2 linked regions of the Schizosaccharomyces pombe genome follow. The protein of the gene in region 2 binds, or shares a complex with, the protein of the main gene of each other region. Each region holds a gene or a part of one and is shown on either strand. Other genes may lie near its edges.

Region 1 (3,770 bases), 1.6 Mb from region 2:
TATGCATTTGGTTTGCGTTGTGTACATGCAAGGAATTTAAAGCCTCTATTATTTCAGTTGGCTATCCCACTTTTTTAAAAGATATGCCAACAATCTTGGCTTCGTAAAGCGGTCAGAATTTGCTGCTTTGCTTTTTTCGCCTCAGGGATCATTCCATAAGTGAACTTAGATATGTTCCTTAAGCATGCTTCCACCTATCCATTGCTAAAATTTTTTAAAATTCTTTAGCTCATGTCCCCACAGTTTCAGTTTGGGTTTGGGATTTCTTGAATTTGTCTCCAATATTGGTGCACCGTTGCGTTTGAGAAGCTGCCTTAATATTTAAATAATGTCCAAGCTTCATAGAAATCGTGGTTTTTTTTTAATTTCATGTATGCGGTTTTGTGTTTGAAAGTTTTACGTTACTATTATGACGGAATTTACCACGTGTATTCTGGTTATCATAAAGCTATTGTTAATTACACGTTACATGTTTCGAAACCTGCGACGATGTCTGCTCTCGCTTTTTAAAATTTAATTATAGAATATAGACTTTAGAGATAAAGCTATTTATTTCTCAAATATTTCAAATTAATTAACTATGAAACCTTTGATAAATTCTAAATATTGGGTGAATAGTAGCAGTTATGTATCGTACATTGAGTGTAGATAGTAATGTGAGTGCGCGCTACTACTATAGGAGTTCCTTTGAAATAACGTATAACATGAATTTTCAAACACAGTCCAGCTGGTTTGCACACCTTCATTATTAGTTAATTAGCAGCAATGGCACGCAAAAAGACATAAAATTAACGTAAAAATAAGTAAAAATTTGGGCATAACAGTATCAGATTAATCCAATTTTAAACTGATTCGTTTGAGGAAGATTTATAGGAAGCTTCTGATAAAAGCCTTAATAAATTCATAGTATCCACATATTTGGAGAAGGACAACAAACTTTTACGATGGGCTATGAAATCCTGGGCAGCAAGGCGACCATATGATGATCGGACTTCAGGTCCAGCGTTAGTCAAAGAATGCAAGGTATGAATATTTTCAGCAAGCATGTCCAGGAGAGTGTGGAATTTTGGTTTCAGCTTACTTATATTAGGAAGTTCTGGTGCATCATCTGGGGGTAATGGAGAGTCCTGTTTATCAAGGTCTTGTTTAGAATCTATGGATTCTACAGCTTTTTTAAAAGATAAAATTGATTTATCTGAACTGACGGAATTAGCAGCAACAGCCCGCCATGCAGCTTCTTCATTATGGAGTTGGGTAAGCTTTGCCGACAGTTCGTCCACTAGCTGAGCATTTTTGAGATTTTGAGGATGAGGTTTATTAGGAATTACAGCATCAGGTGGTCTTTGATACCAACTAACACTAACTTTATTAGCCAATAATTCGTTAAGAACTTCTTGAACTATTGATCTAGCAATAGCTGCCTCACTGGCTTCCTCCGTTTCACCGTATTTTTTTCTTTGCTCTTCTAAGGCCTTTGAAGAAGCCCAAAGGAGAAGTTGTTTGATACGTAAAGGTTCGGATAAGTCTTTGGATATATGGCGATAGTATTCATGCGATGGAACATCTGCATGTGGTAAAGCTTCAAATCCAGTACCAATGCTACTAGCACGCTTACCCCGTTGGTCAAGACTACTCCTTCTTCCTTTACCCTTGCGAAGTTCTTTGTTTCGCTTCACAATTGGTGTATCAGACACGGGTAGCTCAACTAACCCATCGGTTTGGGAGGTATCTGGATCATCCTCCACAGATGATTTCCTTCTTTTAGAACCAGCTTTTTCTTTACCCTTCCTAACGAATACAAATCCTTCCTGCTCTTCAGGCTTTCGTTTCATAATGGATGCTGGTTAGGGTCAAGTCGAGTCAGGATTGCAAAGACTACCTTACTCATTGTTTACACTAGGTAACCTAACAAAGTATAGCGAGCGCGTTATAAGTCGGCCTTACAATTGAGCATTGAAAATTCATCAAAGCAAAGTATATTCATGTAGAGAATAAATAAAAAAATAAATAATGATTAAATTCTTTTTTACTGTTAAGTATTCCTTTCTTTTTGGAGATACACTTGTTACAACTTGGTATAAAATATTTGTTTAATTGCTAGATTATCTTCGAACTTGCAAAAACAAAAATATATATCCTTTTTTCTGCTGTAAAATAATAAGAATAATAATTTTAACATAATCCATTGAATGGTTGGTTAATTCCCCTTATAAATTCATAAGACCTCTTCTTATACTATATCAAGTTTACTGTTTATGTAATATATATATATATATATATATATAATTGAGGAATGCGACATGAAATGCTAAGCTGAAAAGTTATGCAAATTACAAAATGTGGATATTATTACCATTAAAACTGTTTACAGTTTTTGACAAATAGTCAAGATGTCCATGAGCTGCCAGGATTGAGCTTGTACTTTATCATAATTGTTGAAAAATATAGCGACGATAAATAAGATGAATAATCAAATATAAGTATAATGAAAAATATTCGAGTATTCTATATGTACAAAATCTAAATTGTAGTAATTTTCAGACTTAGCTGGTTATTGTTGATTTTAAATCGCTGCATATTATTTACAGAAAGTACCCAATTTTAGATTACATGGCTTTGCAGACAAGCCAGAACTTTAAGGATCCAGTATAGTTTTAAGAATTAAAAGTTTGAATTATCCTACTCTTAAAACACTTCCTATATAAAGTTGTTTCAAAATATTCTGCAGTCAAAAAGGCAACAGTAGTCGGTGTTTAAAGCTCTTTTTAACTTAAGTGAAGTAATAGTTTTCTTATTATAATTATTAATTTATTTGTTTTATTTATTTTAATTAAACATGGAATTTATAACCACAGCATGTCCTGTACAACTTACTTTTCGAGCACTTACTTAGGTTGCCATCATCCTCAAATACGAATTTATTTCGGAATTTTTAAATTCTTTATAATTGAAAAGAATCTTTACTGATTATCTGTTCTTAATCTGTCTCAGTGTATTGCCAAGATCTACGACGATCTGTCTCATCTCTCTTGTATCTTTCCTTTCTACTACATCGAAAGTTAGAGTTAACTGGATTCATTGAAACCAGGGTTTTTTGGAGCCAATTCTAAGTGGTATGTTATGTAATAGTATCCTTTTTGATAATTGTAATTGCTTTTGTTTCTCTGAAATTTTTAATCGATGTTCTATGTTATACTATATAGACCTCATACAGAAGAAGCATATTAAAACGAAATGAAAAGAGATCACACGGATTTTCTTTAAATACTTTGTTATTTTTATACCAAAAGCTAATTGTCTTCAAGTGGAATAGTTTAAACCTTCATTTCTACATCAAGTTCATTTCAAATGGCATTATTAAAAACTTCGTTGGATGCTCCATTCACTAAAATTGCTACCGGCAAAGTCAGAGACCTGTATGAGTGTGTAGAATTTCCCGATGATCTTTTGTTCGTAGCAACAGACAGAATAAGCGCCTATGATTTTATCATGGAGAACGGCATCCCTGAGAAGGGAAAGGTTTTGACAAAAATTTCAGAATTTTGGTTTGATGTTTTAAAACCTCATGTCCAAACTCATTTGATTACTTCTAGGTGGGAAGAATTACCTCCTGTTATCACGAAGCATGAAGAGTTAAAGGATAGATCCATGCTCGTTAAGAAATACAAGATTCTTCCTATCGAAGCTATTGTTCGTGGCTATATCACTGGAAGTGCTTGGAAGGAATATCAAAAGCAAGGGACTGTTCATGGCCTTAACGTACCTACAGG
Region 2 (6,271 bases):
GCGGTTGTTATTACTCAAATTTATTATGGTGGGACCAACAGATTAATCAAATGGGAGGCTGTACAGAAATGCTTTCCTAACCGGGACATATATGCTCTTACTAGAAGATATTTATCCATTAGACAACATACAAAATTTAAAGGCTTGCAACAGTTTTTATCAGAAAATTGGCAGCAAATGTACAAAGATGCTGTCTCAAGAAAAGATTTAATGCCATATCCTGATTCTGTTGATGATTTTGATCCTACCCCATATGTTAAGGCGTCTTGTAGACCTTATATGATTAGTTCTTCAAATCTTGCTACTACTAGGTTACCGAGAGACCTCGTTGACGTTTATGAAACTTACAATATAGAGGTTGTTAAACAAGAAACTAATTTCCGGGAAATGATATTTGATCCTTCCCTGTCAGTTGCCTCGAAAATGAATGCGTATTGTGATATGCCTTTTACCATGCCGCTTTCCTTAAATGACAAACAAAATAATGAAGGGGATGAGAATTGTGAGAAAGGTCAGTTGTTTGATGCGAAGTCTACTATCAAGAGCATCGTTGCCATCCCAGACGCTACATATGATGCTCGGTTTTCGCAAGAACGTCTTATGCAGTATCCAGAAGATATTCTCATCGCTGCTCATCAAGAATTATTGGATAAGAGAATAATTACTAGAGTTAATTCAGAAAACAGTAGATTGCAGCCTGGTCGAAACTTCCAGTTTACGGAGAAATTTGCAAGTTCCCTCAAGTCTCCTTTACCTCCATTTTTATTGTCACAAGCCAAGCGATTTAATAAATTTTTATTGGAGGGTTTTCAAAATCATAAGAATCATTTATTTGAAGAAACATCTAACAGTGGAACTCTCGCATGTATCCTTGATTTATTATCTCAAGGAAAGTTGCAAATATCTATAGTCGGAAGCAAGTTTAATGAGTATGGTCTATCTGAAGGCTATCGTACTCGTTTGCTAGAACATGACAATATCAATGTAACTCTTGTTCTCAGCGGCAAAGAAAGTGAATCTAAAAAAAATTATGGTGTTACTGAAAAGTTGGCAACTCCACCTTCGCATGAGCCACGGCTATGGTTAAATGGTAAATGCGAGCTTATTGAGATGATATGGATGAATATCGAGCAGTCCATTGTATACCAACTGCTTCGAAAACCCGGAATCTTGAGATCCCAACTGACTAACTTACTATTTCCCGGATTAGAACCCCGTGAGTTTAACGAAGTACTTGATTACTTTATAGCAGCAGGTGCCGCTATTGAAAAGGATGGCTTATATCTAAACCATAATTATCTCTTTAAATTAACTTAGCCTTTTAAATGTCACCATGATGAGATGATGCAAGCTGAGTATTTTCTTTCAATAGGCTTGTCGATTTGGAACATTTATATTACAAGCAACGATTTAATGTTTATTTGTACAGTATTTAGGATTCATTTTTAAATTATCTAAAAGATACCACGCTGTGTCTGCTTCTAATCTATAATTAATTATATTAGCGTGTTTTGAATTAATCTGATTTCGCGTTTTCTTCCATCTAAACTTTATATCGTATAAAAATCAAAAAGGTTTCATCGACTGTTTTGCTGAAAAGGTGAAGAAAACTTGAATCGAGGTTATCTCTTTTCTTTCTGTTTTATGTACATAACTTTAGCTCCTATAGAAAAAAGAAAAAACCTGCATCATGTAGATTTGTTTAACTAATTTACGTATGCATATATATATATATATATATATATTAGTAGAGTAAGGTTGATTTTCTAACCATACTTTATTTACGGTAGCATCATTCGTACCTTTTCGTACGTTACGACCACGTTGAAAGTTTTCAAAGAAATTACTTTTTAAACACAAAAGAACATAAATAAAAGAGAAGTAAATATGTCAGACAGTCCAATTGAACTTATGCGGTCCACGCTTGCTGGTTTTCAAATTGCACCAGATGTGAAAACCATCTCAAACATTCAAGACATTCGCGCACAGATACAGAGCTTCAGAGAAAAAGAATTGGAAGGATCTCAAACCAAATTTAAAGGTTAGTTTTAATCTAGAAATAAACGACCATGCATTAACTGTGAATAGTGCTTTCAAGAAAATTAGAAATATCTACCCAGGCTATGGAGTCATTAAAACAAACAGCAGAGTCATCACAACACGCTGAGGAGATTTTAAGCAGGGAAAAGGAGAAATTTAGGATAGCCAAGTTGTTGAATATCACTGAGAACGAAATTATGAGTTTAGAATCTCAATTGCAGAAAATGAAGGAACAGCTACTACAACTTGAGGAACGCGAAAATACTTCTGAAGACATATGTCAGTCAGAGGAAAATGCGAATATGTTAAAGCTGAACTTTTATCATTCTTTAGGCTTCGATTTAGAAACTGCTGAGAACACTGGGAATAAAAGGGTTATAATACGTATGTCATTTGCTCATAATTTGAATTTACCTTTCAATTTTTTATCTTTAAAAAGCTTGATGATATGAAAAATTCAAGCTTTAAAATTGAACTTTAAAACTGTTTTTCGAATCTACTCACACTTTCCTAGATACCGAAAACGATTTGCAAACGGTACAAATCAGCAACAAGTATAGCCCATATTTTTATTCTAATTATTTTTGGGATTTGCTTGATGATAGTAAGGACAAAAAATAGATGGCACTATTATTTTATTTATTTATTTAATCTTGATTGTGTATACCGGTTTTTAAACATGACTCAACATAACGAATGGCCGCTATAAGAGAATCCAATTTGATATTATACAATTTGGCTACCATGATAGTAACCCGATGAGCTGTATTTTCTGTATTAGGTGAAAAAGGAAGCATTGATATATAAGCATCCTTTCGTCGTGAAAAGTCCATTTTATCAGACTCTTTAATGCCTACAGGTTTGAACACTTGTTCTAACTTTACATCTTCAGCAATGACGGATTCGTCGGTGAGTATATCTGTAGGTTGATTTTCTTGTAAATGGCTGTCTTTCGAAAGAATCGGAAATACGTTAAGAATTCCTTCTGGAATATTATTTGGGTTGTTTTCTTCGACAAACTCTTTTTCATACCATTGAAAATATTTATCCATTTCAGAGTTATTGAGCGTCAAAATGGATTGCTCGTCTATCTCGTAGAACTTGTCTTTTTCTTTCTCATTAATTTTTTGCACTTGGGATAACCACATGTTCCAGTTGGTTTTAACAGTGAACATCGAGTCTTTGTATTTGGAATTTCGAGTTTGGGCATCATCAAACCCATAACATACATTTGCTGCTACTAAGATGGTAGCGAGTAACATAACCTCCGCATCAGATAACTTTTCATGTATCGATTGAGCACTGCGTATTTTGCTTTGATAATTATCGCTAGAGGTACCTTGAAGTGAAATCTGCGAGTGAACGAGATTTAGTAAACGAGAAGCAGGTATGAAGATTTCTAAGGGAAAAAAGAAACTGTTAATAAGCTCAAAAAGTATCAATGGCTCATTAGGTGGAGGAACTTTTAGTTCGTATTTAGATACTAAAACGTCAACCAATGTCAAGACAGCGGATTGTATGCGTTGATACGTTGGATAATGAAAAGGAATTAGCATCCTTACATAGTTTTTTTGAAGCCTTTTAAATATTTTTAGAGGTATCTGTTTATACGCTCTATAATATGGAATAATATTTTTCCTTATTAAAACTTCGAGTTTATGAATGGTCAGAGGCAGTCTTAGTAAAAGACAGGCGACATAAATAAAGGCAGAAGAGTATAAAAGCCGAGGATAAGATATAGAATGCGACTGAGAAGTTTCCTTCGTTTTTCTTGAGCTCGGATCAGCTCCCGGTTGACTCTCAGGATCTATGAGATCAAAATCCGAATCTGATGATTCTGATTGCGTTGAATTTTGGTTGAGGGAAAGAAAACTAGAAGTAAATGATTCATAAGACAGGGAAAGGTAAAGCGCCCAAAGGTCACGTATCATGCCTTCTATTCTTTGGTCAAATCCGAGTTTCGTAGTTAACGCTTGACATTGAAGTTGAAGAATAATTTGAAAAGCCTGAAGATATAAGCTTCTACCAGCGGTACCATAAACAATCTCATCTTCATCTCCAGTGTCTAGATGGTTGCGAACAACCTTTCTTTTACGAGTTTGATAAAAAGTCCCTGCACCAGGTTCATCATCTTGAGCGATTTCAATTCCCTAAAATTTAACAATTTTATTAATGAACATTCATTAAAGCGCAAACCTATTAAAAACAACTTACATGTTGAGCATGACCACGACGACAAAATGTTTGACCTGCATTTTTAAAATACCAAGTACTTTTGCAGTTTCTTACAGAACAAGGCGGACCTTCAAACCAATTGCCTTCCATTGTAAAGGAACTGGATATGCAAATAGATGCAGACTTATTTAAAAGTACAAACAGTGAACTATAGACGAAGAAAAATAAGAGAACAAAACACTTAAAGGGTATTCAAGTAGGTAAGCATTTGTAAAAAGATCTGCACAGTTTCTAACGGTGTTGTTATTTATAAACTGCTATGCCAGCATTTTACCAATATTTTGGAAAGTATGAATCGACTGAAAAAACCTAACAGATTTTCTTTCAGCTGCGAAATACCGTTTATATAGTTTTGGATAAATCCTTCACAAATGTATCACAGTAGACTGTTAGTCAGTCAGTAGCGATAGGCAGTTTTTGAGATCTAACGGGCGCCACGTTAATACATATGAGTTGTAACGGCTTGGTAGATAGTGCATACATTGATTAACTATTGTGAAAAGCCATTATATAAAAACTGCAAGTCCACTCTAGATTATATATTACCTCGGGTATCCAACCTTGAGACATAAAGGTTGAAACTAGGATAAAAATTGAGGAAAGTTAAAATAGGCTGAAGAAAAGGTGCTACTGATACATTTAAAAGAGAAAATAACAGCCATCAAGCAGTTTGATACATACCCGTAGTACGAATATATAACCATAATCTAATTTATCTTAAAACTATCAGATATATAAGAAGTCTTACGTTTACAGATTCCAAAGAACATTCTATTTACAAAAATCGTTAAACAAACAATGAATATGGTAAAGGAGGAGCAAAACTTGTTTACTAAACGACCATTTTTAAAGGGAAGAGGGTTTATATTTAGGCGCTGGGAGCATCACGGCAAGCGAGAGCAATCTCTTCACCCATGGCAGAGACAACGGTAATGATTAAATCCTTACCCTCTTCAAAGCCCTCTTCAATTTCGTTGCCGAGTTCGCCTTCGGGAAGACGAACATCGTCCTTGGTAGTACCATCGGTAGTCATGAGGTTCAAGTAGCCATCATCAATGTTGACTAGTTGGTATTCGTCACGCTTGACAACAGGAACGTCCATGTTATGAGTAGAGGGAGACATATCTTCGTACTTGCGACCATTGAAGATATCAAGGGCAACAATGTGGACCTTGGCATGTCCGTGCTTACCAGTCTTAGAGGTGGACATGTCGACGATCTTGCAAGGACGGCCCTTGATGACGACGTGTCCGTTCTTACGCAAAGCAGAGCATTGCATAGGGAAGGTCAAAGAGGCACCGGCCTCACCACCCTCGAAATCGACGTGTTCTTCTTCTGCCATTGTTGGTTTATGCTCTTTCTGTATGAACATGCCCATCACTTTCCCATTTGTTAAATGTGACTACTTTTTCCATGTGAGATTGCTTTAACCCTACCCTAAAGCAACCAAACTAAGTGCAGTGAAGTAAAACGTAATACATGTTATTTGAAGTATACCTTTGCAACGTTAAAATTCGTAAAGTAACTCATCATAATTATTTGACGTATCGTTAGATTACATTAAATTGTTCAGGCTTAACACTGATGGAAGCGCCGAAACCAGGGTGATAAACAACACCTAAATTAAACTTAACCCTCCTTAACTTACCAAACTAACTATTTGCAGGATTATACCTTCCATTTGTTCTGGGATGCAGCTGTCACGTTGAGATATAACATCTATAGGTACAGTATAATAAGTCCGGCATGCAGAGAGCTTCTACCCAGGATGTTTATGATGGAAGTGGTGATGATCTAAACAAACTTGATTCTCTCAAGTCAGTGTTGAATGATGTTCTGAGCTCTTTGGAGCGATTCCAGGTGGATCTGGATGTCGCTACTAGTGATATCTACAAAGTCAGTGAGCGCTCAAACAAAATTCAAGTAAATTTAAACAATTTGAAGGCAGTGGAGTCAGCACTTGGAGCAGAGATTGATGGTGCGATTCTTCCACCTG

Evidence for each region.
Region 1: spc24 (region 2) and mis13 share a complex: the UniProt entries of both Schizosaccharomyces pombe proteins name them as parts of the NMS super complex.

Annotation. Positions count from the first base shown.
Region 1 is NC_003423.3:1,153,770-1,157,539, forward strand, and holds mis13 (MIS12/MIND complex Mis13/Dsn1), read right to left. Parts: upstream 1,853-3,770; 5' UTR 1,833-1,852; coding exon 843-1,832; 3' UTR 535-842; downstream 1-534. Other genes in the region: ade7 (phosphoribosylaminoimidazolesuccinocarboxamide synthase), read left to right, coding at 3,349-3,770. UniProt on the Schizosaccharomyces pombe protein: Acts as a component of the NMS (Ndc80-MIND-Spc7) super complex which has a role in kinetochore function during late meiotic prophase and throughout the mitotic cell cycle.
Region 2 is NC_003423.3:2,753,618-2,759,888, forward strand, and holds spc24 (protein Spc24), read left to right. Parts: upstream 1-1,808; 5' UTR 1,809-1,887; coding exon 1,888-2,041; exon of another isoform or gene 2,042-2,088; coding exon 2,089-2,424; exon of another isoform or gene 2,425-2,554; coding exon 2,555-2,661; 3' UTR 2,662-2,687; coding exon of another isoform or gene 2,688-4,190; 3' UTR 4,191-4,254; coding exon of another isoform or gene 4,255-4,365; 3' UTR 4,366-5,143; coding exon of another isoform or gene 5,144-5,617; 3' UTR 5,618-5,771; downstream 5,772-6,271. Other genes in the region: transcription factor TFIIIC subunit Sfc3, read left to right, coding at 1-1,317; RNA polymerase I general transcription initiation factor subunit Rrn7, read right to left, coding at 2,688-4,190, 4,255-4,365; tif512 (putative translation elongation factor eIF5A), read right to left, coding at 5,144-5,617; GARP complex subunit Vps52, read left to right, coding at 6,022-6,271. UniProt on the Schizosaccharomyces pombe protein: Acts as a component of the NMS (Ndc80-MIND-Spc7) super complex which has a role in kinetochore function during late meiotic prophase and throughout the mitotic cell cycle.